Linked DNA regions of Rattus norvegicus. The protein of the gene in region 7 interacts with the protein of the main gene of each other region in a pairwise test. Links are inferred from orthologs where the notes say so. Each region holds a gene or a part of one and is shown on either strand. Other genes may lie near its edges. The genes, in order: Kpna3, Mageb18, Dnm2, Ctnnb1, Nfkb1, Copb1 and Htt.

The links.
Region 1: the proteins of Htt (region 7) and Kpna3 interact in binary tests that used the Homo sapiens proteins (3 or more experiments, as listed by UniProt). The link is inferred for Rattus norvegicus from reciprocal best matches to the Homo sapiens genes HTT and KPNA3.
Region 2: the proteins of Htt (region 7) and Mageb18 interact in binary tests that used the Homo sapiens proteins (3 or more experiments, as listed by UniProt). The link is inferred for Rattus norvegicus from reciprocal best matches to the Homo sapiens genes HTT and MAGEB18.
Region 3: the proteins of Htt (region 7) and Dnm2 interact in binary tests that used the Homo sapiens proteins (3 or more experiments, as listed by UniProt). The link is inferred for Rattus norvegicus from reciprocal best matches to the Homo sapiens genes HTT and DNM2.
Region 4: the proteins of Htt (region 7) and Ctnnb1 interact in binary tests that used the Homo sapiens proteins (3 or more experiments, as listed by UniProt). The link is inferred for Rattus norvegicus from reciprocal best matches to the Homo sapiens genes HTT and CTNNB1.
Region 5: the proteins of Htt (region 7) and Nfkb1 interact in binary tests that used the Homo sapiens proteins (3 or more experiments, as listed by UniProt). The link is inferred for Rattus norvegicus from reciprocal best matches to the Homo sapiens genes HTT and NFKB1.
Region 6: the proteins of Htt (region 7) and Copb1 interact in binary tests that used the Homo sapiens proteins (3 or more experiments, as listed by UniProt). The link is inferred for Rattus norvegicus from reciprocal best matches to the Homo sapiens genes HTT and COPB1.

What each region holds. Positions count from the first base shown.
Region 1 is NC_086033.1:39,783,190-39,787,525, reverse strand, and holds the start of Kpna3 (importin subunit alpha-4), read left to right. Parts: upstream 1-1,398; 5' UTR 1,399-1,405; coding exon 1,406-1,474; intron 1,475-1,481; exon of another isoform or gene 1,482-1,937; coding exon of another isoform or gene 1,938-2,060; intron 2,061-4,336. UniProt on the Homo sapiens protein: Functions in nuclear protein import as an adapter protein for nuclear receptor KPNB1. Binds specifically and directly to substrates containing either a simple or bipartite NLS motif.
Region 2 is NC_086039.1:61,453,276-61,457,466, forward strand, and holds the start of Mageb18 (melanoma-associated antigen B18), read right to left. Parts: upstream 2,880-4,191; 5' UTR 1,989-2,879; intron 1-1,988. UniProt on the Homo sapiens protein: May enhance ubiquitin ligase activity of RING-type zinc finger-containing E3 ubiquitin-protein ligases. Proposed to act through recruitment and/or stabilization of the Ubl-conjugating enzyme (E2) at the E3:substrate complex.
Region 3 is NC_086026.1:28,296,068-28,299,713, forward strand, and holds part of Dnm2 (dynamin-2), read left to right. Parts: coding exon 1-204; intron 205-2,777; coding exon 2,778-2,876; intron 2,877-3,646. UniProt on the Homo sapiens protein: Catalyzes the hydrolysis of GTP and utilizes this energy to mediate vesicle scission at plasma membrane during endocytosis and filament remodeling at many actin structures during organization of the actin cytoskeleton.
Region 4 is NC_086026.1:129,530,968-129,534,613, forward strand, and holds part of Ctnnb1 (catenin beta-1), read left to right. Parts: intron 1-3,127; 5' UTR 3,128-3,175; coding exon 3,176-3,188; intron 3,189-3,488; coding exon 3,489-3,646. UniProt on the Homo sapiens protein: Key downstream component of the canonical Wnt signaling pathway.
Region 5 is NC_086020.1:226,802,613-226,807,057, reverse strand, and holds the start of Nfkb1 (nuclear factor NF-kappa-B p105 subunit), read left to right. Parts: upstream 1-1,595; 5' UTR 1,596-1,978; intron 1,979-4,445.
Region 6 is NC_086019.1:177,852,255-177,855,900, reverse strand, and holds part of Copb1 (coatomer subunit beta), read left to right. Parts: coding exon 1-23; intron 24-708; coding exon 709-816; intron 817-899; coding exon 900-1,046; intron 1,047-1,409; coding exon 1,410-1,555; intron 1,556-3,233; coding exon 3,234-3,330; intron 3,331-3,646. UniProt on the Homo sapiens protein: The coatomer is a cytosolic protein complex that binds to dilysine motifs and reversibly associates with Golgi non-clathrin-coated vesicles, which further mediate biosynthetic protein transport from the ER, via the Golgi up to the trans Golgi network.
Region 7 is NC_086032.1:80,216,792-80,221,136, reverse strand, and holds the start of Htt (huntingtin), read left to right. Parts: upstream 1-1,468; 5' UTR 1,469-1,635; coding exon 1,636-1,835; intron 1,836-4,345.

The DNA.
Region 1 (4,336 bases), on a different chromosome or scaffold from region 7:
TGCTTGGCCCATAGGGAGTGGCACTATTAGGAGGTATAGCTTTGTTGGAGGAAATATGAGGTGGACATTGGGTCTCCTATGCTCAAGTTAGGTCCCTTGTGGACACAGTCACCTTCTGCTGCCTGCAAATTGAGATGTGGAACTCTCAGCTCCTTCTCCAGCACCATGTCTGCGGGCATACCACCATACTTCCTGCCATGATGACAATGGACTCAACCTCTGAACTGTAAGCCAGCCCCAATGAAATATTTTCCTTTATAAGAGTTGCCATGATTATGGTGTCCCTTTACAGCAACAGAAACCCTAATTAAGACAATTCTGAAATGTAATACTCATATATAATCTAATAAGGTTATCTTGCTGTAAAAACAAAAACAAAACCAACCAACTAACCAACCAAAACCAACAAAAAAACTGTTATTGTTCCAACAGGAAGCTAAAGGGAGTTGACAATCTGGAGTCTGCAGACTTAGGTCCTGAAGGCTACATTGTGTTAGGTAGACTAAAGCATCAGGTCATAGAAAGGTAGGGCTGCCAAAGTGAAGGTTGCACAAGGATGCTTGGAGAAATCAGGGGATGCTAGAACACTTTTTTTTTAAAATCAGAATTTACTAGGTACTGTTTTGATCTGACAGATTTTTGAGACCAACAGTGTCTCTTTTCTCATTGAGTTTAATAGCGGGTGCAGGAAGCAATCATAAACACACACATCACACTCACATGTATTTGTGGAGTGGAAACAAGCGTGCTATTTATAAAACCGAAGCAAAGCAGAGAACAGGGTTTGAGGGTGGCTGCTATTTGAGGAGACCCTAAAGAAGCCAAAAGCGCAAAGCACGCGTGGCCGTTCTTTTTCTAATTTTCGAAGCTGTAGAAAGCAAGGTGCGCCCCCGGAGCTCCGCCTCTCTCTCCGGATAGGCTGCAAGGTGCCATCTCCAGAGTTGCCCCGCCCACCAGCCCGCCCAGAGGTGGGGCTTCGAGCCCGCGCTCAGAGAGCGCCTAGCCGAAAGCGCGCGCACAGCCCTCCCGGCATGCTTCTCGTCCTCTCACACCGTGGCTCAGACCCGCGCCTGGCAATCTGGGAATTGTAGTTTGCGCCCTCCGCCCCGCTTCAGGGGTGGCGGTAAAAGCTGCTAGGTCGGGCTCCATTTCTAGCACATGACTAGCTGCTGTGGGGAGGCCCGGCGAAGGGGTGAGGGTAGGGTCAACGCGACAGCCGGCAGGCCAGCGCCCCGGCCTTCTCCGGCGCGCGCCTTTCCTCAGCGCCGCCCCCGCGCCGCGGCCACCTCGCGCTCCAAGCGTCACGGAGCGCGCGCTCCTCCCCCTCCGTCCCCTCCCGCTCGACTCGCCGCCGCCGCCGCCGCCGCCGCCGCAGGAGCAGCCGCCTCCGGAGCCGCGCGCAGCCATGGCCGAGAACCCCGGCTTGGAGAACCACCGCATTAAGAGCTTCAAGAACAAGGGCCGCGATGTGGAGGCGAGTGTGCTCCGCGGCTGGCTGGGTAGGGCGGGGAGGGGCGGGGGCCCGCGGCCGCTGGCTCTCGCCGGCTGGCGGTCAGTCGGAGTTGGCCGCCGCCTCGGGGCGCCGCGGCCCGGGCAGCAGCCGCCCTCTGAGCGGCTAGCGCGGCACCTGGGACCGCTGAGCGCTCGGCCCCGCTGCGCGGGCGCGGCCTGGCGTCGGAGGGGAAGGGATGTGGAGCCGAGGCGGGGTCCGCGGGCCGCGCGGGAGGACGGACCGGGATGCTGCCGCCCCGCGTGCCGACCGCACCGCCGGGGCCGGGCCGCCGCTCGTGTCCGCAGCCGGTGCAGCCTCCCGCGCTGCCGCACATGGAGCCTGGGTCCCCGCGCTTACCTTGTGCGAGCCGGGCCCAGGCGGGCGGTGGCAGCCCTCAGAGGGGGGTGGGGACCAGCCGGGTAACTGACTTGTTTGAGGGTGGTGGATGGGGGAGGGTAGGATGCGCCAAGACCATTTTCTTATATTCCAGTGCTGTCCTTTGGACCAGTCTTCCCGAGCTGTTGCAGCTCATACCCCTGTGACTGCTGGCATTTGGAGCGAGCTAAAGGTGGACAATAGTTTACCGTCTATTGTGTTGAAGCTTTGGGAAGGAGGTTGTGCAGACCTCTGATCTTGGGATTTTTTTTTTTTCTAAAGCACGTTTTGGAGTGGAAGTGTGAATAATAGGAAAATAATTTCTTTGACCTGTTTTGCAGAAATAAATTGGATACATAGATTCCTACGTCCTTGTGTATACCACATGCCACCAAGCTAGTAGATTTTCCAAGTGGTTGCAAAACTGTAAACATTCATTGTGGTCACTCAGTTTGCTGCTACTCAGCATGTTGCCATTGTCTCATTAAGGTGACATTAGCAGCTACTATTTGCAAACTCTGCTTATTGAGGTAGCGCTAGAGGTCTCTCTGCTCCTACTAAAACCAATGAAGTGTAATAGCACAAACTTCACTGGGACCCAACCTCTGGATTTGATGGGGGAAATAGTTTTGAGCCCATATCCTCTTCTCTATTCTAATAGTAGGTAATATGATTTGTATAGTCTAGTAGTCTTTGGTAAGAGGCTAGTTAGTAAATACAGGGTTTGGTTTGGTTGAGAAGCAGACGAACCTGGACCATTTTTCAGAGCTACAAAATTAATTATGAACTGGAAAGAACCTGGGGGAATATCTGTGGAATTCCCATTTGAGTGAGACTATAGGTTTTCTATCTCTGCCCTGATCACATTTAAGTTTCTTTATGAGAATTCCAAACAAAAGTGAAACCTAGCAAATGGAACATCCATCAGTCTGTTTTTTTGGTAAGAGTGTGTGTGTGTGTGTGTGTGTGTGTGTGTGTGTGTGTGTATGTATGTGTATGTGTATGTGTATGTGTATGTGGCGTGTGTGTGGTCTCTCTTGCTTTTCATTTGTTTTGTTTTTGAGACAAGGCTTTAACTACAGGGCAGGCTGGTTAAGCAGAGAGAATAATCCTGCCTCAGTCTCCCACGTGCTGGGATTACAGGTGTGGGCCACCACACTTTGTCCCACCAGTAATTGTTCTTGAGGTTGTCTCTTATTACTGTAAGCAAAACCTGAATAGTTTACGTGGATACTCTATTGCTTGTACATTCTTTCCTTTTCTGGATGTTGGTGTAAGTTTTTGTCATGATTCGTTTGAGTTCTGTGTCCTGTTTGTTAAATGATAACTAGTGAGGACTTCTGCATGTAATAGATCCACAGCAACTACTTGCTGCTTACTAGAAGGTGACAAGTGGCTTGTGGATACATGAAAAGGACAGTTGCCATTTTGTCGGGTTTTGTTTACAACATTTCATGTCCAAGCCTATGTCAGTATAACTAGGACATGAAATAGGCATTCAAATGGTAGTTCTTTGTGGCAGACACAAAGAACTATACATTGGTGTGCTATACCAAGAACATTTAATCCTCACCACTTAGAAGTGGTGCATTCCTTTACTAGAGAAGAAGAATTCTTTTTTTTTTTTTTTTTTTTTTTTTTGGTTCTTTTTTTCCGGAGCTGGGGACCGAACCGAGGGCCTTGCGCTTCCTAGGCAAGCGCTCTACCACTGAGCTAAATCCCCAACCCCAAGAAGAATTCTTCGATATAGAATTGCACGTTTCTGTAGCGTGCTGGTAACATCTGAGAGCATTCATTTGCTAAGTGACTATTGGGTGACTAGTGCAAACAAAGATGGCGTCCGAGTGATCTCTGACAGATAAATGGGAATGAGCTGATCCTGAAGAGTCAAAGAAAAGCTTGGTGCGCCCTCAGTAATCTCAGCACTTGTTGGGATAGCGGCAAGTTAGGAGTTCAAGGTCATCCTGAACCGGCGGGCACCCTACCTCAAAAAATAAGCAAATGAATGAAATGAAAAGGTGATAACTGGGGAAGGGGAAGGGCAGGGTCGAAGAAGGGGATAGGCTTTTGTGATTTGAAGATTACTAATTTCCGAAGTTCCTAGAACTGCAATGGGACTGCTTTGCTAAGGGGTTCTGGGGAGTGGGTGGATGCTAGAAATGTAGTGGAAGGGTAATCTAGGGTCTGGTCTAATTTAGGGTCTTTATTGTGGTTTTAAACAGAACTAAGAGGAGATGCCAGCCATATTAAATTTATTTTTCCCATTAAAAGCTGTGCTGCATTTGAGTCATACTATGAGTTAGCACTATAATTAAGTAGTTGCGATTATTAGGGTGTTTGCTATTGTTTCTTTACAAATAGTGTAGACAGAAGATAAAACATTTTTAAATTATGCAGTCATCTATCTGGTACAAGGAAAATAAGGCAGCATTCTTTGAGAGCTGTGAGTAGAAAGGGTTGCAGAGAGAA
Region 2 (4,191 bases), on a different chromosome or scaffold from region 7:
AATAGCCAGAAGCTGGAAAGAACCCAGATGCCCTTCAACAGAGGAATGGATACAGAAAATGTGGTACATCTACACAATGGAATATTACTCAGCTATCAAAAACAATGACTTTATGAAATTCGTAGGCAAATGGTTGGAACTGGAAAATATCATCCTGAGTGAGCTAACCCAATCACAGAAAGACATACATGGTATGCACTCATTGATAAGTGGCTATTAGCCCAAATGCTTGAATTACCCTAGATGCCTAGAACAAATGAAACTCAAGACAGATGATCAAAATGTGAATGCTTCACTCCTTCTTTAAAAGGGGAACAAGAATACCCTTGGCAGGGAAGAGAGAGGCAAAAATTAAAACAGAGACTGAAGGAACACCCATTCAGAGCCTGCCCTACATGTGGCCCATACATATACAACCACCCAATTAGACAAGATGGATGAAGCAAAGAAGTGCAGGCTGACAGGAACCGCATGTAGATCTCTCCCGAGAGACACAGCCAGAATACAGCAAACACAGAGGCATATGCCAGCAGCAAACCACTGAATTGAGAATAGGACCCCCGTTGAAGGAATCAGAGAAAGAACTGGAAGAGCTTGAAGGGGCTCGAGACCCCATATGTACAACAATGCCAAGCAACCAGAGCTTCCAGGGACTAAGCCACTACCTAAAGACTATACATGGACTGACCCTGGACTCTGAACTCTGACCTCATAGGTAGCAATGAATATCCTAGTAATAGCACCAGTGGAAGGGGAAGCCCTGGGTCCTGCTAAGACTGAACCCCCAGTGAACTAGATTGTTCGGGGGAGGGCGGCAATGGGGGGAGGATGGGGAGGGGAACATCCATAAACAAGGGGAGGGGGGAGAGGATGTTTGCCCGGAAACCGGGAAAGGGAATAACACTCGAAATGTATATAAGAAATACTCAAGTTAATTGAAAAAAAATAGTGCCTGTTAGGATAATTGTAAAATAATAGTTAAAAGCAGGTCAACAGAGAACAAAGAGCACATGTTAAGCCAAATTCTTTCAGTTATCTATTACTGAAAATCAATTCAGCTTAAAACTACACTGTTAAATTGTAGTTTAGTGTTATTTGTCCTTTTTGCTGTTTGGGTTTTTGTTTTGTTTTGTTTTTATTGGTTTGTGTTTTGAAACAGGGTTTCTCTGTGTTACAAAGCCCTGATTATCCTGGACTCCTGGATTTTGTAGCCAAGGCTGGCCTCAAACTCACAGAGATCCAACTGCCTCTGCCTCTGCCTCTGCCTCTGCCTACCGAGTGCTATGATTTAAGGTGACTGCCACCACACCTAGCTTCTAGTTCATTTTTTATATGTCCTGCTTTTTATTATTATTATTATTATTATTATTATTATTATTATTATTATTATTATTATTGGACTGGGCTCACTGCTGGTTCTTTTCTGAACTTTCATGCACTGGGATGTTACAGTCAAATATTGGCTGAGAATATAGTTCATACCAAATCTCCATCAACTGCAACTATTGGCCCAGAGGTTTCAAGATTGCTAAATCCCATAGCTATGAATTGACGCTGAGAGCACATCTGGAGCTTTCAACTGGAACACATACACATGACTTTTCCAAGTGGCCTGCAATTTGTATAACTGTGTGACAAGAGGGAGTATCCAAAGAGAAAGTGGTCCAAGAAACAATAATTATAAACAGCCAGTCTCTCAACTCATAAGCCAAGAAACAAACAGCTTCACATTACTCGTATTGACTTTTTCAGGAAAACTCTCACAAAGTTCACCCATATGCAACATAAGAGAACACAGAACCCCATTGCTCAATGACTCAAGGGTCAAAGAATTTTAATCTGTGTTGTGGGACTTTCCCTGAACAAAAGTCTATTCGCCTCAGATAGGGCGAATAACAGCAAAGAAACAGTTGTATCCAAGCGTAATTTAGCAGTTGATCAGTTGTCGGGATATTACTTATAGGAGTATGAGTGAGGGGGTTACTTACCCGTACAGCATGGATGTCGCAAAGCCAGATGATCATCAAAAAATCCACTAGAGCATTGGTGACGACGACTCACCAAAGCTGCATCTCTGGAGCTCCTTGCATGGCGCACAGGCAGCTGAGCCGGTGGGGGTGAGAGAGTCTCCTCTGTCCAGCAAGTGTTACTGTTTAGATAACCTTGGAAAGGGGCCTTATGAATCTTATAAGTTCCGGGGCCTTTTGAAAGTTGTAAGTTTGTTTATTTCCTGTGTCTTATGAGCCTCCCTCCCTCTTTCAGGAGGGAAGGTTTCAATTGCTACATAACAGTCTACCACGTAGCTCCATTCATAAGCTTCGTTAGGAAGGTTTGCAAACAAGAGACGTTAGGACAGTTACATCAGAGAAAGATGACTGATGACACAGGGAAGATTAATTGGATGGTGATGGAGACAAGTATGATCTAGCAATTAAGAAAAAGTGATCACGTTAGAAATTATGGAGGTTAGAAATCCTTCCCTTTTCTATTCAGTTGGAGAGACCACACAAAGAAAATCCTAGAACACACAAGTCATAAGACTTGATAGGGATAAAGGCCAGAGAAGACAAACATCCAGAAATCTAGGCTAATAGCTGAGTGCCAATGTTGTATAAAATAAAGATATTCAAGAAAAGTAGAGTGCCAAAGAGGACAAGGATTTATCAATAATGAATTATCAAGACAGTTTCATTTTGTTTATAAATCCATAAAATATTCTTTAAGCAGACCAAAAACCCCACCTTTATTCTCAGAGGAATAAGCATTGGATATTTTATTTCTCCAGGGTTCAATTGTCTTCTTTATATTAGCAGATATTTCCATTCCCCTCTTACTTTTATCCATAAAGATTTCATTAACAAAACTGTCAGCATTCTATTACCTAGAAAAATTAAATTAAAAATCCTATTACTAAAAATGGGAAATTTAATAAATTCTAAATTCAATATTAAAAGCATTTAATTTCTTTAAGGCCATTTCCCACTACCTGCCATTTTCAAAACCATCTTTGAGCACATACCCACTTTAAATTTTTAATCATCTGTGAGTGATTGGCTTTAACCATTTCAAGTAAATCTGTACTTGAACTTCCTGGCAGCAAAAGACTGGGATCAATATTTGCTATAAACATCTAATCAGCTAACCTAGTCATTGTCACTTATGGTGAATAGAATGCCGGCTATGAGAATAGACAATCCAGAAAAAAAAACTCCATACTGCAGACAAGATTTTGACAAGGATCCCAGGAACATACAATGGAGGAAGGACTCTATCTAGTATGGTGGCAGATGAGCTAAGCATCCTTGTGCAGAACAATGACAGATCATCATCTCACACAGTATATGAAAACAATCAACCCCAAAAGAACTAGAGGCTTAAATATGACTTAAAAGGAAGAAAATCCTACAGGACAAAACCACTAGAGAATACCTCCATTACATTGACAGTGAGACAACCACAGTAGATATCCCTGATAAATATTCATGCAAAAATCCTCAGCATAGTACTAACAAACTGAACTGGACAGTATGTAAAGAAGATTACATACCATGGCTATAATGGTATGCCTGGAATATACCTACCGTTACCCACATGATAATTAGTGCTACCCATCACATCAGCCAAATGGAAAATAAAAATTATTCAATCGTCTAAATGATAACAAAAATTGACATCGTGTCAAAAAGGTACGACATCGTGTTGCAGTAATAGAATAAACAAAAAAGAAAGAAGTTATATATCTACATGATAAAAGCGACATATAAGAGGCACATCACTAGCATCACACTTAACATGGGAAAACTGAAGGATTTCCTTTTAAGATCAGGAAAAATATAAGGTTCTCTGCTTCTGCCACTGCTATTCAATGTAGCATTGGGAATCCTAGCCCCATCCAAGAGGCAGGTATCAAAGAAAATAGTGCAGCAAATCATTAACAAAAATGAAATTATCTCTGTTCACATATACAATAATCTTCTGTATACAAAAATATCTAAGTTCTATTATGCCATTTTGATACTTGAAAGTTTCTTTTTATTTATATACTCAATCACTATACTTCTAAATAACTAATTTGTGTTTTCTCCACCATAGTTCCTTTGTACGTCCCTGAATTTTATTCCTACATGCTGGTCAACAAACACTGAGAAAATAATACTATAAGTAACTACCAAGATACAGAAATGACAGTCC
Region 3 (3,646 bases), on a different chromosome or scaffold from region 7:
TGTTGAACTTGACCCTCATCGACCTCCCAGGCATCACTAAGGTGCCAGTGGGGGACCAGCCACCAGACATCGAGTACCAGATCAAGGACATGATCCTGCAGTTTATCAGCCGGGAGAGCAGCCTCATTCTTGCCGTCACACCTGCCAACATGGACTTGGCCAACTCGGATGCCCTCAAGCTGGCCAAGGAGGTGGACCCCCAAGGTAACTCCAGCCTGGGGCAGCAGCCACTTCCAGTAGTGCTAGGTCCCCTCCCTGGTGTGCTATGTCACAGGGTTGTGTTAGAAAGGCCTCCTGAGATGCCTTGCGACACTTGAAATAGCTTCGCTCTTCCTTGAGTGTTGATGGGGTCTACTCCGCCTGCCCTAGAGTCTGGCGTGTGGCTGTCGTAGTCAGCTTTTCATCACTATAGCCAACACGGTGACAGAGACCCTGTCTTAAAGAGCATTCAGGGCTAGTTAGGCTCAGTGTTTCAGAGCACCCTCTTGTGATTAGTGGTTTCTGCTATTGGGCCTGTGAGTGGATAACACTTCACTGTGCACATTGGGAGCAACACAGAATAAGAAAAGGACAAGGGATCCTACAAGGTGATGCTCCAAGTGACCCCAATGACCTGAAAGCTTCAAGGAGACATTTAAAACCCAAATTATAGTCTGCACAGAGTACCTCAGTGAGGGTTGCTCACTTAGAAGTGCCCAGCATGAATGAGGATCTGGGTTCAATCTGACAGCTTATTTGTTAAGAGCACTTTCTCCTGAGCGTGGCAGCACATTCATTTAATTCTAGCACTTGATAGGCAAAGCAGGTGGATCCCCGTGAGTTCAACTCTGACCACTCTACAGTGTTCACTCCATCTGGACCTGGAATAGCTCAGTAGGTGGTGTGCCTGTTAGTGTGGAGGACCCCAGCACTGCATGACACTGGTGTGGTGCTTCACACCTGGAATTCTAGGACTCCAGAGGCGAACTCCAAGAGTTCATCATAGGCATTTAGAGGCCAGTCCGGGCTCTATGAGAACCTCTCTCAAAGAAAGGAAGAAATAAAACCTAGAAAAGTAGAGAAGGGCGCACACAACCTGGTGGAGAGTTGAGGTCATGAGTGGAGGAGACCCTTGAGACGGCAGGGTGAGCTGGAAGCATAGGGCTGCAAGTCCTCCTTCTCAGGAGCCTCCTGCCCATCCAGTCATGCTGCCCGCTGTCCACACCTATGCCTGTGACAAAGCATTAGCAGGGCAGTACAGAATGGGCTAAGGTGGTCACCATTTGTGAGCACACTGGCCTCCTACAGCCATTTTTGTCCTTTTTTCCTTTTTTGCCTTTGCAAGTACTCATCGTTTTTACAGAAAAGTTACCGTGGGAAATCAGGAGCCCACAAACCTCCCCTCTTCCACATAGATAACCCTGGCCACACTTCCTTCCAAAGTTTTTCTTACGTGTAAACTTACTTTTAAGTGGACGTCCTTCCTTATTTTTGTCTGTGCCTCTGTTTGTGGTTGTTGCTCTTGGCGATTGCGACTTTTATTTTTCAGTCGTGGTTTCAGGATGTAGCCCTGGCTACCCTGGACTTGTAGACCGAGATAGTCTCAGTATCAGGTTCTACCTGCTTCCGCCTCCCACGTGTGAGGATTGCAGGTGCAAGCCACACGCCTGGCCCTACTTTATACTATAGTGATAGTATGTTACTCTGTGGGCAGGCCCCACTGTATACTGACCCACTCCTTAGCCTCCCTGTATCTCTTCTTATCAACAGACGGTTTCATTTGGTGTCCATGTCTCAGGCCCCGCCCCACTCATTTCTCTCTCTAGTGTGACCTCTTCCCTATTCGCTGTATGAATTCTTATAGGCACACCCCCTTCACAGTAGTGCCAGCTAATGTAGACACCTGTGATGTCCAAGTCGATACCCACCTTCTGTGGGCCTCCTCAGCCTCTGTGTGTCTTGCACATGTGCATGCAGGCACACATTCACATGTGTATCCAAGCTGGTGCCTGTGTCCTGATGTGACGGCTGTTCTTGCTAGTTAGGCGGGGTCCTCTGTGGTCCAGATTGGCTTCAAACTGTTTAGCTGAAGGTAACCTTAAGCTTCTGGTCCTCCTCTCTACCGCCCGATTGCTGAGATCACAGTGGTGTGTCTCCATGCAGGCTCAGTGTAGCTGACCAGGTGCTTCGGAAAGAGCCCAGGCTCCTTGGCAAGTGCTCTACAGCTCAGCTGGTACAGGGTAGGACCCAAGGTTTCTGAATGCTAAAGCAAGACTGGTCCGTGGAGTACACTGGCCCCTACCCTGGCTTGGAAGCTCAGCTCATAAACTGCTCGGGTGAATTGTGGTCAGGACCCCAAACTACAAAAGCCTTGGCCATAGGGATTAGGGAGTAGTGGGGAGGCTGAGAAGCACATGGGTTTGGCGTAGCTCTGCTGTGGGATGTGCTGACTCTGGTTGACCTGGGGAGAACGTTGATGTCCTTGGCATGGTAATTGAACCAGGTAACAAGGGGCCCTGGAAACCGTTGCTCAGGTTCAAGTGTGATGTTGAGAATGGGCAGGGGAGATCCTGTTTCCATGATGTTCATTGGTTCTGCTGAGGCCCTCGTAGGCTCTTGCTAGTGTTCATTGAAAAAGCGCTTGACACTTGATGGGAGTCCCTGGGGCTATACCTGTCATTTTACACTCTGCCAACAGGTGTCCAGGCAAAAAGACACCATGGCTCTTGTCTCTTGGCCTGTCAGAGGGCCCCAGGGTCCCTTCCTCATCATCCCTGCTGACTTGTGGACTCTTTCAGGCCTGCGGACCATTGGTGTCATCACCAAGCTAGACCTGATGGATGAAGGCACAGATGCCAGGGATGTCCTGGAGAACAAGCTCCTGCCCTTGAGAAGAGGTAGGTAGGGCTGGGGTGGGCCACTGAGCGTGGGTGTGTCTTTTGTGATTCTCCTCTGGACAGTGGGTCTACATTACAGCTGTTTCTGGAACACTAAGAAGCAAGGACACAGCCATGCCTGGTGCTTGCTGTGATCCCAGCACTCTGATGGCAGCCTGGGCTACAGGACACCTTGTTTCAAACAAACAAATACAAAATGTTTCTTCAGAAATAGGTTTAGGTCTAGGTCCTGGGAATGAATCTCAGTGGTATAGCCCTTGCCCAGCATAGCTAGGAACCAGGCTCATTTCCCAGCTTCCCACACAAAGCAACATGTCCTGCTGCTGATTCTGCTCATTGAAGGACCCTGAGCTGTCACTTTCCTATGTAGCGTGCTGGTGTGTAGGTGTTGAAGAATAGACAGCCAGGCACGGACACACATCTGTTAATCCAGCATTCAAAAGCCTGAGGTAGAAGGGTCATGAGTTTGAAGTCAGCTCAAGGTAAAGTGCCGAGACCCTGAGTCTGCCTTCTGGAATTCACATTAAGAAGGAAGGGGGTACTGACTCCATCTGTCTTCCAACCTCCATTTTTGAGAATGTTTTTGAAAACTTTTTTCACTGTAAGGAGTGGGGACCAAGAAACACCTCCCTAGCTAGTGGAGGCTGAGGGATGAATTCTCCTGACCCTGTCCTTCGCCTAGCTGTGGCTGCTGCCAGATCCGTCAGGCCTCCTCCTTAGAGGAGCTCAGCACCCACAGGCACTGATGGACTAAGTAAGAATCTATCCAT
Region 4 (3,646 bases), on a different chromosome or scaffold from region 7:
GTGTTATTAATCACAGCTTAAATGTTCCTTTTATCCTTTAAAATGTACAGTGCTGCTAGCATTTCTGTCATTAGAATTAGTTAAAAACACTTCTTCTATGTTAAGATTGTTAATGTGTTCTTGTAGTAAAAGAAGCACACGAGGAAGGACTGACTGACCACTCAAGAGCAGGAGGCAGGGCTCAGTTCTTCTGTGGTCTTCACTGTGTCCTGGTGCTCGTGGTTAAAATGGCCGACGTGCAGCACTGTAGCAGTAAATTTCTTCTTAGACCATAAGCAATTTTTAACTCCTAGAGATAAATCCAAAGGTTATGACATTCCATAGTTAGAGTAGTGTTTTCTTTAAATAATTGGATTTGTTCTAGTACACATTTTTTAGAAAGTGAATTGTTGGTGTGTGGTTCTATAATGTGTGTGCTTTATGCAGTGATCTTAATCATAGTTAATACTAATTCAAAATTCTTATAAGGTGAATAAGGCAATTTTATCCCTGATGGGAACTTGGAAAGGAACCTTAATGTAAATCTATACTAGTTCTACAAGAGGAATTTACAGATAAAGTCACGTGATCTTTGAGCTCATAGATAACTGGAAAATACATTTAGAGAGCAAGAAGGAAAAAAAAAAAAACCAAAGAGAAATTGTACAGATTCCTTAGACTGGGTAAGGAGATGCGAGAGAAACTGTGAGTCCCACATGTGCCCTGCCTAGAGACTGCAGACACAGCAGTGTCTGTCACTGGTTACTGCCACCTGGATGAACACTTACACAGGTCCTCCTCATACTGTGGTTGGTTTTCTGAAACACCTTGACTTGGTTCCTGGATCCATTACCATTTTCCTCTCTTATGTTTGAGGTCTCTCCCTCAGTGTTTCAGGAGGATTTTGCAACTTTGGTTAATATTTAACCTAACATTTTTGGTTCTAAGTTTCATGGGGGTACCAGGTTAAAGTATTTGTGGCATCCCTTCCCCCCATTTTAAAAGCACTGTCTGTTTTTACTGAGTTTGCTTTTCTTGACCTTTTTCTTTTGACATTGAAGAATCTCCCACAGTGGCAGTTAGAAAGCATTGATTCCCAGGAATTATGAGGTTGGTCCCTTAAGAAATCGGCAGGGTGTGCCTAGAAGGGAGAAAGCAGCCTTTGGCTTGAAGCCTCTGCTGAGGAAAAGTTTCCTTTGAGGCCAGGCCTTCCCTGCTGCACTTCTGGGTGGACTTCCCAGGGCCGTGCTGCTGTTTTGGTAAATAATGCTTAGAATTCTTGCATTTTTGGATCTTTCTTTGACCTGCATATTGCTACTTAAAGCTGTCAGCTCTCTTTCATCCTGTTTTCATCTCCCTGTTGCTGACATTTGCCCTCCACCCACCTCCCTACCCTCCTCCTCTACCCTACAGGGCCTCTGTGAGAAGCAGGGATGATTCTTATGTACTGCATAGGGTGCTTTGTTAGGTGCTAACACTGGATGCTAATGGATTTTGTGTTCAGGACTCTAACATCTGCAGATACTGAGTTTAGAACATGATCTTTTCCCACATAAAATTATTATATATTGTCTTCCAAATAACCAGGTCAGCTTATACACCAGGCAAGATGGTGAGTGTTTGGGTCCCGCAACACTAAGGAGGAAGCAGGGACAGGGCTCTGCCTGTATGTGGTGGTGGCACCGCCTAGTCTCCAGGCCTGTCTGTGTTGGCCACATGAGGGAAGTGCTAGATACATACAGGGTTCAAGTCCCCTCTGCAAAACTGCAGTGAGCCTGCACTTTCCTGAGGGCTGGGGAAGGCAGCAAAGCAAGGCCACACCCCTTTTCCACACAGGAGTGGGCATCATTGTTGGTTAAAGATGGAGAGCTGTGCTCACTGTACAGAACTTTTCTGTTTTTCACTTTAGGGTAGAAGGCTCTGAGGTAGTGGTCCCCTCCTTTGACAGCTAAGTGTCACTTTGTACTGTGGACCCTGAAGCAAGGGCCCAACCTGAGCTTGCTTACATTAGCCTCGGAGGAGTGATGGAATCCAGATGTGATCCCAGCTCAGGAGGGTGAGCATGGCAGAGTGCCAGCCTGGGCTTCAGAGTGAACAGTTTCTCAGAAAACAGGAAAAGATCGGTGTGTTCTCTCTACTTAAACATCGGTCAATGGTGGGGTTTCTCACTTCATTAAATGTTGAAAAACACCATTGCATGAATTGAAAATGTAGCCATACCTAGAGGTCCTTTCTGTGTCTTTATCCATTTGCTGCTGTTGTTAGCTGTAGTGCTGCCTGCTGGGGCAGACATTAATAATAGAGTCTGGGGGTTGGGGATTTAGCTCAGTGGTAGAGCACTTGCTAGGCAAGGGCCTGGGTTCGGTCCCCAGCTCCGAAAAAAAGAAAAAAGAAAAAAAAAAATAATAAGAGTCTGTTCACAGAGTACTAGAGGTCGTGAGCCTTAAGCTCCCATTTCATCCTTGGTAACTTAGTAGTGTTCTTGAATATTGTATAGTAAGGTCAAAGTGAAGACATAACTTAGGCTAACATTCGCCAGTGGAAGACGTCCCACTGTTGATGGCAGGGGCGTCTGTCTATACCAGCTGACGTGGCACGGACAACATTGTGCGAACTTAGGCAAACCTCATCACAAGGGACTTCCATTTGTACTTCAGACTTTGACTTAAAGATATTCTGCTTCTTCAATAAGCTGCATAAACCACCATTCTGATCTGGTAATTGTGCTATATCAGGAAAAACCGTGGGTTTATTTAATAAAAATTTGGTGGTTTTTCTTTAAAAAAAAAAAAATCTACTGCCTCCTGGCTGGGATTTCCAGGCATCCTGAACCCATGCACAGCCTTCAGGGTTGGTGGTGCAGCTGGATTTTAACTAGTGCTCTCTTGGCTTTCACTAGAGAGAGGCCATTCTCTAGCAGCACCTGTGTCCACACTCTGTTTCTGCTGAGAAGAGCCCAGTGGTGATGGAACTGTGGCTCGTCTGAATTTTCAGTGGATGCCATGATGAACTGACTTGGGTGAGGTGTGGGTGGGAGGAGCCAGAGCCTAAACAGGCAGCAGAATCACAGTGACAGGTTAAAAATCAAGCTTGACTTGTGACGACTTGAACTGTGACGACTTGAATTGTGATGACGGAATCTTTTCAGGGTATCTGAAGCTCAGCGCACAACTGCTGTGACACCGCTTTGTGGACAATGGCTACTCAAGGTTTGTGAATCTCCTCAACGAAGATTTGCTTCCTTCCTGCTGTGTGGGGTGGGGTCTGCCTCAGCCCCTGCTGCTCTTGCACACTGGCTACTGGCTTGGTGACATAATCAACAAGCCACCCAATGGGATCTAGTGGGTGGGTGACTCTGGAGTCCAAGTTCATACCTGTTCCATGGGGCTCACACTGGCATCACCCTGCTCCCCACGGTTGCCTTTCTAAGTGTTCAGCAGGTCACAGCGGGTCCCGTCGCTGACGTCGTACTCAGGCAGCATTCTCAGTGCATTAACACTGTTTTGCAGCTGACCTCATGGAGTTGGACATGGCCATGGAGCCAGACAGAAAGGCCGCTGTCAGCCACTGGCAGCAGCAATCTTACCTGGATTCTGGAATCCACTCTGGTGCCACCACCACAGCTCCTTCCCTGAGTGGCAAGGGCAATCCTGAGGAAGAAGATGTG
Region 5 (4,445 bases), on a different chromosome or scaffold from region 7:
CTCCATGGGATCATTTTGAGCTTCAAGTTTAACTGGATACTTCTCCCGATGAACAGCCTTCAACTTGCGTTCTCATAGTATATCCCACTGCCTCTACCTTTGTAACAATTTTATTATATGCCTTTGACAATGGGACTGCCACACCTGGCAGACTGCAGAGTTTTCCCGTCCCCACCTAGTCCACAGAGGAAAGACAAACAACTTACACGTCGTTGTTCCTCTAGAGCTTGCCGGTTTTGTATTCATGTCAGCAGGGGGAAAAATCATTTTATATACATTCTATATAACAGTGTGCTTAAATCATAGCAAGGACACAGTTTTCTCTTTTCCTCTCCTTCTCCCTCCCCCCCACCTCCCTCCCACACTGTTTGTGGTGTGGGGGTGGGGGGCAGAAGGTCTGTGTCTGTCACTTTAGTCACTGAACCTGGAGCTCAGAGGTTGGCTTTGTTGGCTAGCCAATGAGTTCCAGATCCAACTGTCCCTCTCACTGCTGAGGTTACAGGCGCCCCCATCTGCAACGACTTTTACATACAGAAAGGCTAAAGGTCCCAATAACCACTCTGTTGACTGATTTCCAAGGCCCCTAGGGCACAATTTCTATTGTCCCATAAATAATAACAAAGTGTTTCCATCCTTGTCTTCCATTTATAGGAAGCCTCTGAACTCTAGATGGCAAAAGGACCTCAGGAATCTAAATGAAACAGCTTTAAGGTTGATGATAGGGCACTTTAAGGTCACTTAAAGACGCTCAAATATCCAGTGTGTGTAGGTGGGAGTGGGGGGGCGTCGGAGGGGGGAATCTGTGTTCCTGGAAAGGTTTTTATAACCTCGTGGGTGGGAACGCAGAGGGTTAAGTAGCAAAATAAAACCGTGCTGACTACTTGATTGATCCCTGGCGTTTCAAAGTTGTATTTCCACTTGAACTCAGTAGTGAGACCCTGGACTCTAAAATATGTTTCAGGTCACAGCTCACTTGGGAGCTACCTCGCCCCAGGGTGTCATCCCTGGCCCATGGAGTCACTATGCCCAAAGAATAAGCTCAAATACTAGCAAATGGTCATCAGTGGGAGGCCTCTCCAGAAAAAATAACCTCCCTTGAGCCGGATAAGGATTTATGAGCTGTGAACCAACACCGCGGGTCCCACTGTCACTATAATTCCATCCACAGCGATGATCTCACAGGCCGGACAATTCGCTGTGGCTGGAATAATTGAGAGGATTGAAAGACTTCATCCAGACCCTATATAAGTTCATGATTCTCTGGAGAGACCTCAACTACGATCTCGAAGTTCCGGTTCGCTCTGTGAAGAGATCTGAGTGTATCCAAGACCCCCCAGAGGAGGGAACATGCAGATGAGATTGACTTTTGTGTCCAGCGCGTGGGGACCAGGCTGGTCTCCCGTGGCCTCCAGCTGTCCAGGCCTGCCCTTGGGCTGCGGGCGCCTCCCGGGGGCGTCGCGGTCGCCGCGGGGCTTGGGGTTCGGGGCGCCCGATCCGGGCGCGCGGGCTTCCCCCACCCCCGGCGGCGACCCCACCTCCCGCCCCCGCTGTGCGCGCGCGCGTGGGTCCGTCCGTCTGTCTGCTCTCTCGACGTCAGTGGGAATTTCCAGCCAGGAAGTGAGAGAGTGAGCGAGAGAGGACGAGAGAGAAGTACCGAGGCGAGCCGGGCAGGAAGAGGAGGTTTCGCCACCCGAGCAGCCCGGCTGCGCGCTGACGGCTTCCCGTGCCCTGCGCGCCCCCGGCCTGCCGCCGCCGCCGCCGCCGCCCTCGGCCTGCTCGCGGGCCGGCTCCAGCAGCGCAGGCCGGAGCTCAGGGCCCCGCCGCGCCCGGCCCGCCCCGCGCTTCTCCGCCCGCGCCGCAGCCATGGCGCGCCGCTGAGCCGCCGGCCGGCGCCAGGACCTTACTCGGGCTCCCGCCGGTCCACGCTGCCCCGCAGCGGGAGCCCGCAGGCGCGGAAAGGCCGCGCCTCACCTCCAGGGTAAGCCCCGGGGCGGGTAGGGGAACAGAGCGACCAGCTCTCCGCAGCGCCGGTGCAGCGGGTCCCACCGGCTTGGGACTCACGGGGGGAACCGCGGGGGAACCCGGGGCAGGAGTCGCGGGGCGCGCGGCCCCGGCTGCGGGGACAGAGCACATCCGCACTGGGCGGCCCGAGGCCTTGCGGGCCGGCTGGCGGGGCCCTCCGCGTCTCCGCGGGCGGGAACGGGAACCGGAGGGGAACTCTTGCAAAGTTTTAGAAAGATGTACCCGAGCCCCTGCCGCGGGTGTGGGGTGGGGTGGTGGCGGCCAGGCTGAGGTCCTCCACGGTAAAGGACAGATAGAAAGGTGTTTGGTGCAGTGCACAGCCAGATTTCGCCAAAGGGCGGTCGGTGAAATGAAAGCAGAAGTGCCTGTCAGTCCTCCGGGCAGGCAAAGCCCTTCCCAGCTCCTAAGAATCCCGCAGGAGAGCCTGGGGGCCGCTTACCAATCTGTGATAGACACCGCCACCCCCGATGCACACACATGATACATTCAGCTGCCAAATCTCAACATTGATTTTTCAAAATATAAGGAGGGCCTCACCCCGATTCTCCAGGCCTGGCATCTGAGACAGGAATTACCTACGAATAGCACCTTTTAGACTTTTGATTACTCTAGGATAATGGCACCATGTTATTGTGCCTGACCTCTGAAACAGAAAAAGATACGAATGACGCCTCTCCTACGTGTAAGCTTCCTTCGGTCTTCTGAGCCGGACACTGATCTTGGCTCTCTGTTTATTGGTCTAATTCTAAAGCTTAAATGGAACTAATGATGGAAGATTTCATCGTCTAAATTTAACCCATTTTTATGGACTTTGCAAAGTAAAGGTCGGCACTGCAGCTCTCTAAGTAGCCATGTTTAACTAAAATTTTTGGTTGTTTTAGGGCTCATAACTGAGAACTGCTCGTGGTGTTGAGTAACATTTCATAGCCGTGGCATCAAATGCTGGGTCTCAGAGTGGTGGTTAGTCCTAAAGATGGAGATGGCTTTCTAAAGGAATCTTCAGCGGAGTGTTCTTGGGTGGCAAAAAAAAATGCATTAACGCTCGTCAGACCTTGAAAAGGGAAACTTGATTAAAGTAAGGTCCTTACTGAAGTGGGTTTTTTTTTTCCCCTTGATTTTAATATTGTGCTTTCTAGAGATGGTGTCTCTTACTGTTTGATGCACGAAAAATTATGTAAATTATTTACAGCGAAGTCCTTTGCTTTGCATAAGAACTTGAGAAGCCTGGAATTAAAAGGGTTTGCTTCCTGTTGCATTTAACATTTATCGCCCCAACTGGATGACTAAAAGAGCACGCGTATTGATGGGAACGTGAACTCGGCAACTCTGGTCCATGCTGGTACATCTGGGAGTCTCTTGCTAGCTTAGAGAAAATGTCTCCTTGGCTTAAGCTACTGAATAAACTTGAACACAAAAGAAGGCTTCTCTGTACGCTGAATGCTGGCACTAAAATACTATACTTGCCGGGAAACACTAACCACTTCAAAACCAGAAGACTTTTAAAGAAAGTTGTTTAATCCTGTTAAAGGTTGGTGGCAACCTGATTATCTCTGTCACCTCTTATCTCCGTTCAGAAACTAAGTAGCATCTTGCATTCTACATAGGGCAATTACCTGAACTGTGTAGGTTGTGAATGTGCCTGTGTTTGAAAGCCAGTTAGTAAATACTGGAGTATACATACAGAAAACAGCCCTGCTTCCCCTTTGTAAGCACTGCTTTGATCTTTCTACTTCCTTTTTTACTTCTGCCCTTAAAACTAGCACAGCCAGGCTGACTGATATGCAGTGGGTTAAAGCTGGAGTGATTGGAAACGAACGGCGTCGGATTTAATGGTGCTGTTCCTTTTCATGGTCCTTCGGGTGAACTGAGGCTGAGTGGAGAAGCTAGTATTTCTGTGGGCTGTTTTCACTACTTGCAGACTTCCAGATAACCGATGAAGTAAGCCGCTTTGCTGACGTTCAGGGATTGCTCATTGCGGTAGAGAGGTCTAGATAAAGACTTGGCAACCACACGGACTGTGGATTATCATTCAATCGGCAAGCCATGGTTTTACCTAATTTATTTATGAGGTATTCCCCTGCTCCGAAGAGGGAAAGTTCTGGCTTCTAGGGAGAAGTGACCATTTATAACCCTTAATTAATTTGAGCATGGGCAAAGAAAATAATAGCTGGCATCTTCAAATAGCAGGCCCAAATAGTTGGTCCTGAGTTGCTGTGTGGATTCATGACATAGCCAAGTCGGGGATCAAACCCAGGACCTTGTGAGTGTTCTACTTCCATATACCTGTAGCCTTGCCATCAGGATTCTTGGGGAATGAATTCAAAATACCCTTTCTCCCCTTCACCTAGAGGAGTGTCCTGCTAGTGATCTTCATCTAGATGTTGTGTTCTGTACTGTGTTAGGAGTGTATCTGGAACATGCTA
Region 6 (3,646 bases), on a different chromosome or scaffold from region 7:
CTGCTCACGAGCGAGTCCTCCAAGTAAGTTCTGTTGTCCTTTATGTTTAGATCAGCCCACGCCTTGCCACTGTATGTAACCTAGAACCTGAAGCCTGGCAGTGTAAATTTTGGGCAACTGAGGTGTAACTTTTTTTTCTTTATATTTTATTGGATTTTTTAAATTTACATTTCTTTTTTTTTTTTTTTTTTTTTTTTTGGTTCTTTTTTTCGGAGCTGGGGACCGAACCCAGGGCCTTGTGTTAAATTTACATTTCAAATGTTATCCCCTTTCCTGGTTTCCCATGAGGTGTAACTCTTAAATCACCATCTCCTTTTACGTCTTTCTACTGGTCATCAATTTTTTGAAGAGTTAACTAAACTGGGTTTCCTCTAAAATGTTCTTCCTCCTGGATGTGGCTGGTTACTTTGCTGTAATGTCACTTAGCTTGTTCCTCTGACTTTTGTATTTTCCATGAAACAAGTCAAATCTAAAACTTGATAGAGTCGAAGCATACATTGTCAGCTTGGCTATGTCACATGTGATGTCATCACTTTATGTCTCATTACACTAGGTAAACCAAGTGTCTACTTCTTCCTACACCACTAATGCCATTACTAATCAGAGGCCTGAGGTGATGGAGGGCAAAAAGCACTGTGGTGCAGTTTGGATATTTTTCTCACAAAGATAAAAACACTGGCATCACTCTGTAGTTTTTGTTTTTTTCAGGATCTGGTCATGGACATCCTACGAGTACTGAGTACACCAGACCTAGAAGTGCGCAAGAAAACGCTGCAGTTAGCACTGGATCTTGTCTCATCTAGGAATGTTGAAGAGGTAAAACAAACATTGGTAACATTATTTGTAAGAGGTCCAGATAGGATGTCGTTCTCACTTATTTTTACTTTTGTCCCCCATAGTTGGTTATTGTCTTGAAGAAGGAAGTAATTAAAACAAATAACGTGTCTGAGCATGAAGACACTGACAAATACCGACAGCTTCTCGTGCGAACACTGCATTCCTGCTCTGTCCGATTTCCAGATATGGCTGCAAATGTTATTCCTGTGGTATGTAACTCTTATTGTTTTACTGTAAGATTCTCTAGATGTTTCATTTTTCTTTTTGGGTTATTTTACATCTACTGAAATTGTAACCATCTGAAATAATAAAGATCAAGATCTTTACATGTATTCCTATGATAACGAGGGAAAGAACTCAGATTTCTTTCTCTAAATCCTCATCACAAACTTGGCTGCACACAGGACTATCGAGACTCCTGTTTATGTGCCAGTGTCCGTCTCAGCTTACGTTTGGTCTATATGTTGAAAATCACGGACTTCCACTCTTTGTTCATTAATTTATTTCTGACTTTATATGCTTTTATCTCTGGAAACTATATAACTATTTGTCCCGTTTCTCTTTTTTGTTAGCTAATGGAATTTCTCAGTGACAGTAATGAAGCAGCAGCTGCTGATGTCTTGGAGTTTGTGCGTGAAGCCATTCAGCGCTTTGACAACCTGAGAATGCTGATTGTTGAGAAGATGCTGGAAGTCTTCCATGCTATTAAGTCTGTCAAGTAAGTTTAAACTACACTTAATGTAAAGTTGAGCACTTTTGTCAGTTTCTATTTTAAAGAGTCAGTAGAAAATAAAATAGAGGAAATAAGATACAGTGCACAATATCATTCACCATTCTCAGTTCATAGTGCATAGAATTGTTTCAGTTAGGCTTCCGTGTTCTAATTATATCTAAAACGTTGTGAACCACAGAATGACCAAGAAACATTTTTTTAAGTGTTGTACTTAAAATCACCTTTTGAATATTATTTATGTCACCCTCAGCATTTATTGAAAAGGTTTGAAAACAATCTGAATCTGATGTGTTTGATTCCATTAGCCTCTGTTTATGACAAAGGGTTTTTGGATACAGATTTTGCTTCATTTATTGCATTTGCTGGATAAACTACAAGAGATTGGTGGTATGTCTACTTAAATAGGATGGGACCAGTACACGGTTAGTTCAGTGGTGTGAAAGTGACTGAGAGGTATACATACACACACACTCAATCACCCCCACACACACATACACACACACATGTCATGTACATATTATGTATGATATGTGTGTATGCATGTATATGAAAGTAAAATTTGTCCTGTTATGACGAAAAATTGAATCAAAGCTTTGCTTTTGACAGCTGAAATCTTCTGGGACTTTAGTTTCTATGGTTGATTTTATTTTTCTAAATAAATTCAGTTAAAATCTAAGAAAAAGGATAACTAAAAATTTTATCCAGTTTAACATTTTAAAATAGAAAATTATTTCTGTCTTTGTTAACTGTCTAAGTTCAGAGGTTTAGTCCATTATTGTGGGAAGCATGATGGCGTGCAGGCAGACATGTTGCTGGAGAGGGAGCTGAGAGCTCTACATCTAGATCCACAGGCAGCAGAAAGTGACTGTGTGTCACATTGGGCATGGCTTGAGCACATATGACCTTAAAGCCTGCCTCCATAGTGGCACACTTCCTACAGCAAGGCCATACCTACCCCTACAAGGTCACACCTACTCCATCAAGGCCATACCTCATAATAGTGCAACTCCAGATGGCCAAGTATTCAAACACATGTGCCTGTGGGGCCGTCCTGTTCACATTTCCCCAGTAACATTTTAGGCTGAGAATTGGCTTTGTTCTTGTGACAGGACACTACTGTGTAGCCTGAGTACCTTTACTGTAAATATGTGCCTACTGCAGCTGGTCGTCATTGCGTGCTGTAGTGCTTTCTGGGCTGGTTTCAAACCCAGCACATGTGTGGTCCCCAGATAAACACTGTACCAGTGAATTGACCCTCAGCCCCAACAAGATGTACTGTATATGTCATCCCACTCAACATTTTATGTCTTGCACAAAAAAAGTGAAATGAATTTAAAAATTATATTCAAATAATATTTTTCTCATAGTAGAAAATGATAAAGCCAAATTTATTAATTTTAACTGTCCCCTAAATGAATGCCCGTGGGAAACATTTGGCTATTTAACTTTTACTGCTCAACTCACTAATTTTAGAATGTTCCTAATGACAGTGAATGCAAATAGCTATTTTCTTAGCTTCCCATTTGTTCCAGTCTTTCTGAAATGTTCCTCTTCCAGAATATAAAATCCTGATTTCTTGCCTTATCTTAAATTCACAGAGAAGTGTTTCTACATCAAGATTTGTTCCCAGGTTTGTATTTCAGATCTTGCATTCTTGTCCTAGGATTTATCGAGGAGCACTGTGGATCCTGGGCGAGTACTGCAGTACTAAGGAAGACATTCAGAGTGTGATGACTGAAGTCCGCAGGTCCCTTGGGGAGGTATGTTTGTGTGCCTTAGAGAACTGCTGTGCTGGCCGTGCAGCTCAGTGGTGAAGTCCATGTCCAGTCACATGCAGCCCTAGGTTCAGTCCTAGTACAAAGAAAGAAAAACAGCAATTGATGTTTCTGTCGTCATTCACTTTTGTGTTTTTGTTATGTAGTGTTGGAGCTAAAGAACACTGAAAATTATATTTTAATTACCCAGATAAATAAACCTCAGGAGCAATAGAAAATTAAAAGTGGCTCCCCTCCCCCTGCCTCCATGAGAACTGTTAACATTTGTTCAAATAATTATTTGTTTATCTTTGGGTAAGAT
Region 7 (4,345 bases):
TGGGCCTTCTTCCAAGTCTGCCTACTAGCACCTACCAGCCCTGACCAGCTGTTAGAGACTGCCTCATGTGAGGGCTGGCACTGGCTCTGTGCATCCAACAGTGGCATTAGTAACAGGAGGGACATGGAATTTAAAGACTGTTTCTCTGCTGTCCTTGGCAGTTTAACAGGAGCGGGCTGCTTATACCCCTATAGGAACAATATTGGTTTCTGTATACTTGACCATTTTGAGAAAAGGGAGTGTCTTATGGCCATGGAATAGGGCATTTGAGTCTTACAGGTAGCCCGAAGCTTCATTGGATTTCTCACAGCATGGATCACCTCCAGACAGCTCTTTCAGGAGCCAGCACATTGTTTGTTTGTTTGAGATGGTTTCTGTGTAGCTCTGTGTCCTGGAACTCATTTTGCAGAACAGGCTGGCCTCGAACTCAAGAGATCTGCCAGCCTCTGCCTCCTGAGATTAAAGGTGTGCTCTACCATTGCCTGGCTTTTTTTTTTTTTTCTTTTCTTTTTCCCTTTTCCTTTTTCTTTTGAGACAAGTTCTGATATAGCCCATGCTGACTTGAATTCACTATGAATCCAAGGGGAAACTCTAGAACTCCTGATCCTCCTCCCACCTGCTGAGTGCTGGGATTACAGGCATGATTACCACTCCTGGTTTATAAAGTGCAGGGATTAAACCCAGAGCTTCTGTGCATGCTACTCAAAGCATTCTACAAGTGCTGTGATTAAAGGCATGCACCACCATACCCGGCTGAAGCCAACACTTTTTGCTAGGCAGGCTGAAGGAACAGCCTGGGTGTACTCGCACCATTCTTAGCTTCCTGCTTTTAATTGTTTACCTTTGGGAGATGGAGGCTCTAGAGACAAGGACCTCAGCCCTGGTGGCAATGAGACCCCCCTTTTAGATTCTGGCTGATGGGTATAGCAGTTCCCAGGGTCTGGGTCTCATTGTAGTGTGTCTGACCAAAGCTCCCCAGTTCGCTGCGCTCGGGACTGAAGCTCAGGCCATTGCCTGGCTAGTGGAAAAAAGAGCCTCTCTGGATTCTGGGTTCCGAGCTCCACAGTCGCCTTCCCGGTGACTCCAGGTGTAGTGTGGCTTTATGCAGGGAAATTTCTTCTCTTTCTTTCCCCTTTCCAACCCTTCCTTCCTTCCGGGTCTCCCCAACTCCTCTGCCCACCCCCTCACCACTTTTCTGTCGCCGTTGCCGCGCTCACTCTCGGCTCAGCTCCGCCCCTCATCTGGCAGCCTGCCTCGCCCACCGATCCTCTTGCTTGGCTTTTTCACTCAGAGGAGCTTTCTTCGGCCGGGAAGGGGCGGGGCCTCATCGGCGGGGCGGAGAGTCTTAATAAACTAGCAGAGGCAGGGCACGCCCACGACCAAACGTTGAGAAAGAGGACGACGCATCCGCTTGTCAATTCTGCAGGTCTGGCGTGGCCTCGCCTCCGCCGGCATGACGTCACGGGACGCACTCGCCGCGAGGGTTGCCGGGACGGGCCCAAGATGGCTGGGAGCTTTGGTTCCGCTTCGGTCTACCTCGTAGAGCCCCATTCATTACCTTGCTGCTAAGTGGCGCTGCGTAGTGCGAATAGGCTCCAAGCCTTCAGGGTCTGTCCTGTCGGGCAGGAGGCCGTCATGGCAACCCTGGAAAAACTGATGAAGGCTTTCGAGTCGCTCAAGTCGTTCCAGCAGCAACAGCAGCAGCAGCAGCCGCCGCCGCAGGCGCCGCCACCACCGCCGCCGCCGCCGCCTCAACCCCCTCAGCCGCCGCCTCAGGGGCAGCCGCCGCCACCACCGCCGCTGCCAGGTCCGGCCGAGGAGCCGCTGCACCGACCGTGAGTCCGGGCGCCGCAGCTCCCGCCCGGGGCCCGCGCCCCTGGCCTGCGTGCTGGGCATGGCCAACGCGGTCCCCTGTCCAGAGGGTCGCGGTACCTCCCTGAGGCCAGGCCTTCCCGGCCCGGGCCCTTGCCTTGAGGGGTCTTTGGCCTTCCCCAGAGGAGACAGCCTGGTCAGGCCAGCGAGGGACTCGCTGAGGAGCGTCACGGCTCCAGTGCCTTCACGGTTCCCAGTTTGCGAAGTTAGGGAACGAACTTGTTTCTCTCTTCGGGGGAAACTGGGGCGGTGGCGCACTTGACTGTTGTGAAGAGAACTTGGAGAGGCAGAGATCTCTTGGGTTACCTCCTCATCAGGCCTGGGAGCCGGGAGTGCAGGACAGCGTGAGAGATGTGCGGATAGTGGATGACATAATGCTTTTAGGAGGTCTCGGCGGGAGTGCTGAGGGCGGGGGAGTGTGAACGCATCCAATGGGATATTCTTTTTCCAAGTGACACTTGAAGCAGCCTGTGACTTGAGGCACTTCATACTCTCCTGGCGTTTTCGTTTAGTTCATGGTGCAGTGTAGTTAACAAGGTTTTAAGCATCGCTGGAGAGGTGTGCTTCTGTATGCTCTGTTGGTCTGCAGGCAGTTGGATGAGTTGTATTTGTCAAGTACACGGTGAATTACTTATGTGTGATTATTAATACAAATTATACGTGTATGTGCATATATATGAAAGAGTGGACTGATATTTATTGCCTATCTATTTTCTGTTGTATATAAAATGGATACATTGGTATTGTGCAGTTTACACCCGGGAGTGTTGCAGTCAAGCTTGTTTTAGAACATGGACCACTCAGACTCTGTGTAGATATCTCGTGTACCAGTAAAAGTTCCTGTTTAGTTCTTTACTGACATCTTATAGATCTTTGGAAGCTCACTGCTTGTGACTGGAGAGAATATTGAAACAGAAGACAGATCATGAGTCACAATGCTCTAAGAGAAAAGAGATGCTCAAGATATTTCCTGGAAGTCCATGCTGGGTGTTCAGCCCCGTGATTTCTTGAGCTCAGGTCTTTCTCTCAACTCTGGGCATTTTATTTCTAATCTGAACTTGTATAATTAATAAGGAGAACTTTCAGGAAACAACCTACTAAAGAAGGACATTAAAACTCATTAGAAAACAAGTGTTCTAATGATACCACTGAGCTTATTCCAAGCTCATTTTTACTAATTTTTTTTTTTTTTGTTTTTGTGTTTCTGATAGCATCCCTTCCCTGTTCTGAGTTTACTTTTAAAAGATAAAGATTTGGGGAGAAATGTTGTCTTATTTGTAGAACAAAATATATGAATAAATTTATCTTCTATAAGGTGAAAATTGTGAATAGAAAACCTCTTATCTCTAGATAAGTAATTTCTTTTTGCTTTCGAGACAGTCTCACTATGTAACTCCTGTAACTTATGGAGATCTATCCTCCTGCCTCTGCCTCCTCAGTGCTGGGATTAAAGGCATGTGGCACCATGCTTGACTGTTCAAATATTTTTTTAGTTAGTTGTTTAGATTATTACCATGACTCTGCCTCTCTTGGTGGTAGGAATTGTGGAAGTTTACATATTTCCCACATATTCTGTAAACTTGTGTGTGTGTGTGTGTGTGTGTGTGTGTGTGTGTGTGTCTTTGTCAGAGAGAGTGTTCTGTACCCGCTTCAAACACAAATTAGTTTGTTTTTGCATAAGTAATTAAGTAATTCATTAAACATGATACAGTCCCATAGATAAAAAAGGCTAAATAATGAAAACATCTCCCTTCCCGTTTCCTAACTCTGTACCAAGGAGCAAGCTCTGTTACACTTCATTTGTCCTTCCAGATAAAATTTGGGCATATGTTAGGGCAGGCTTTTTAAATTCTTTATAAGCAAAAGTGTTTTGGAACAAAAGCTTTTAAAAGCTTAAACAACCCCTTGTTACCACACTGTACATCACCAACTGTAACATTTTCCAAAGTCAGCTCCATTAGTGTATATTTTATATTTCTATGTACTTTGCTGTGAAAAACCAAATGCTCATTAATAATAAGTAACAAACTCACTGCTTGGAAGCTTTGATTTTGGCATTCTGTTCACTCACTCCGCTTAAAAGTCCTTTTTTCAAAGTGAGACCAGCCAAAACAGTTTTAGAATGAATCTGTTCTATTTTTATGACTCTCATTGTGTTCCATAGAACCAGTGTCACAGCCATGCGTGGGCTTCTGTTGAAATAGCCGAGAACTTGTTCTCTGCTCAGCTGGCTGCATTGGGTCCGATAGGCCTTAAGCAGTTGACATTCACCTTTAATAGACCTCATTAGGTTTCCTGATCGTAGTCATTCATTTATCAATATTTGCTGATCATCTCCTGTGTGCCCAGACTTATTCTAGTTCCAGGTTTTAGCAGGGAACAAAGTTATGACCTCATGAAGCTAAAATTCTTGGGAGGGACATAGACAGTGAGCAAGGTAGTTTGTTCATAGTAAGTGATGAGGTACAGTAGG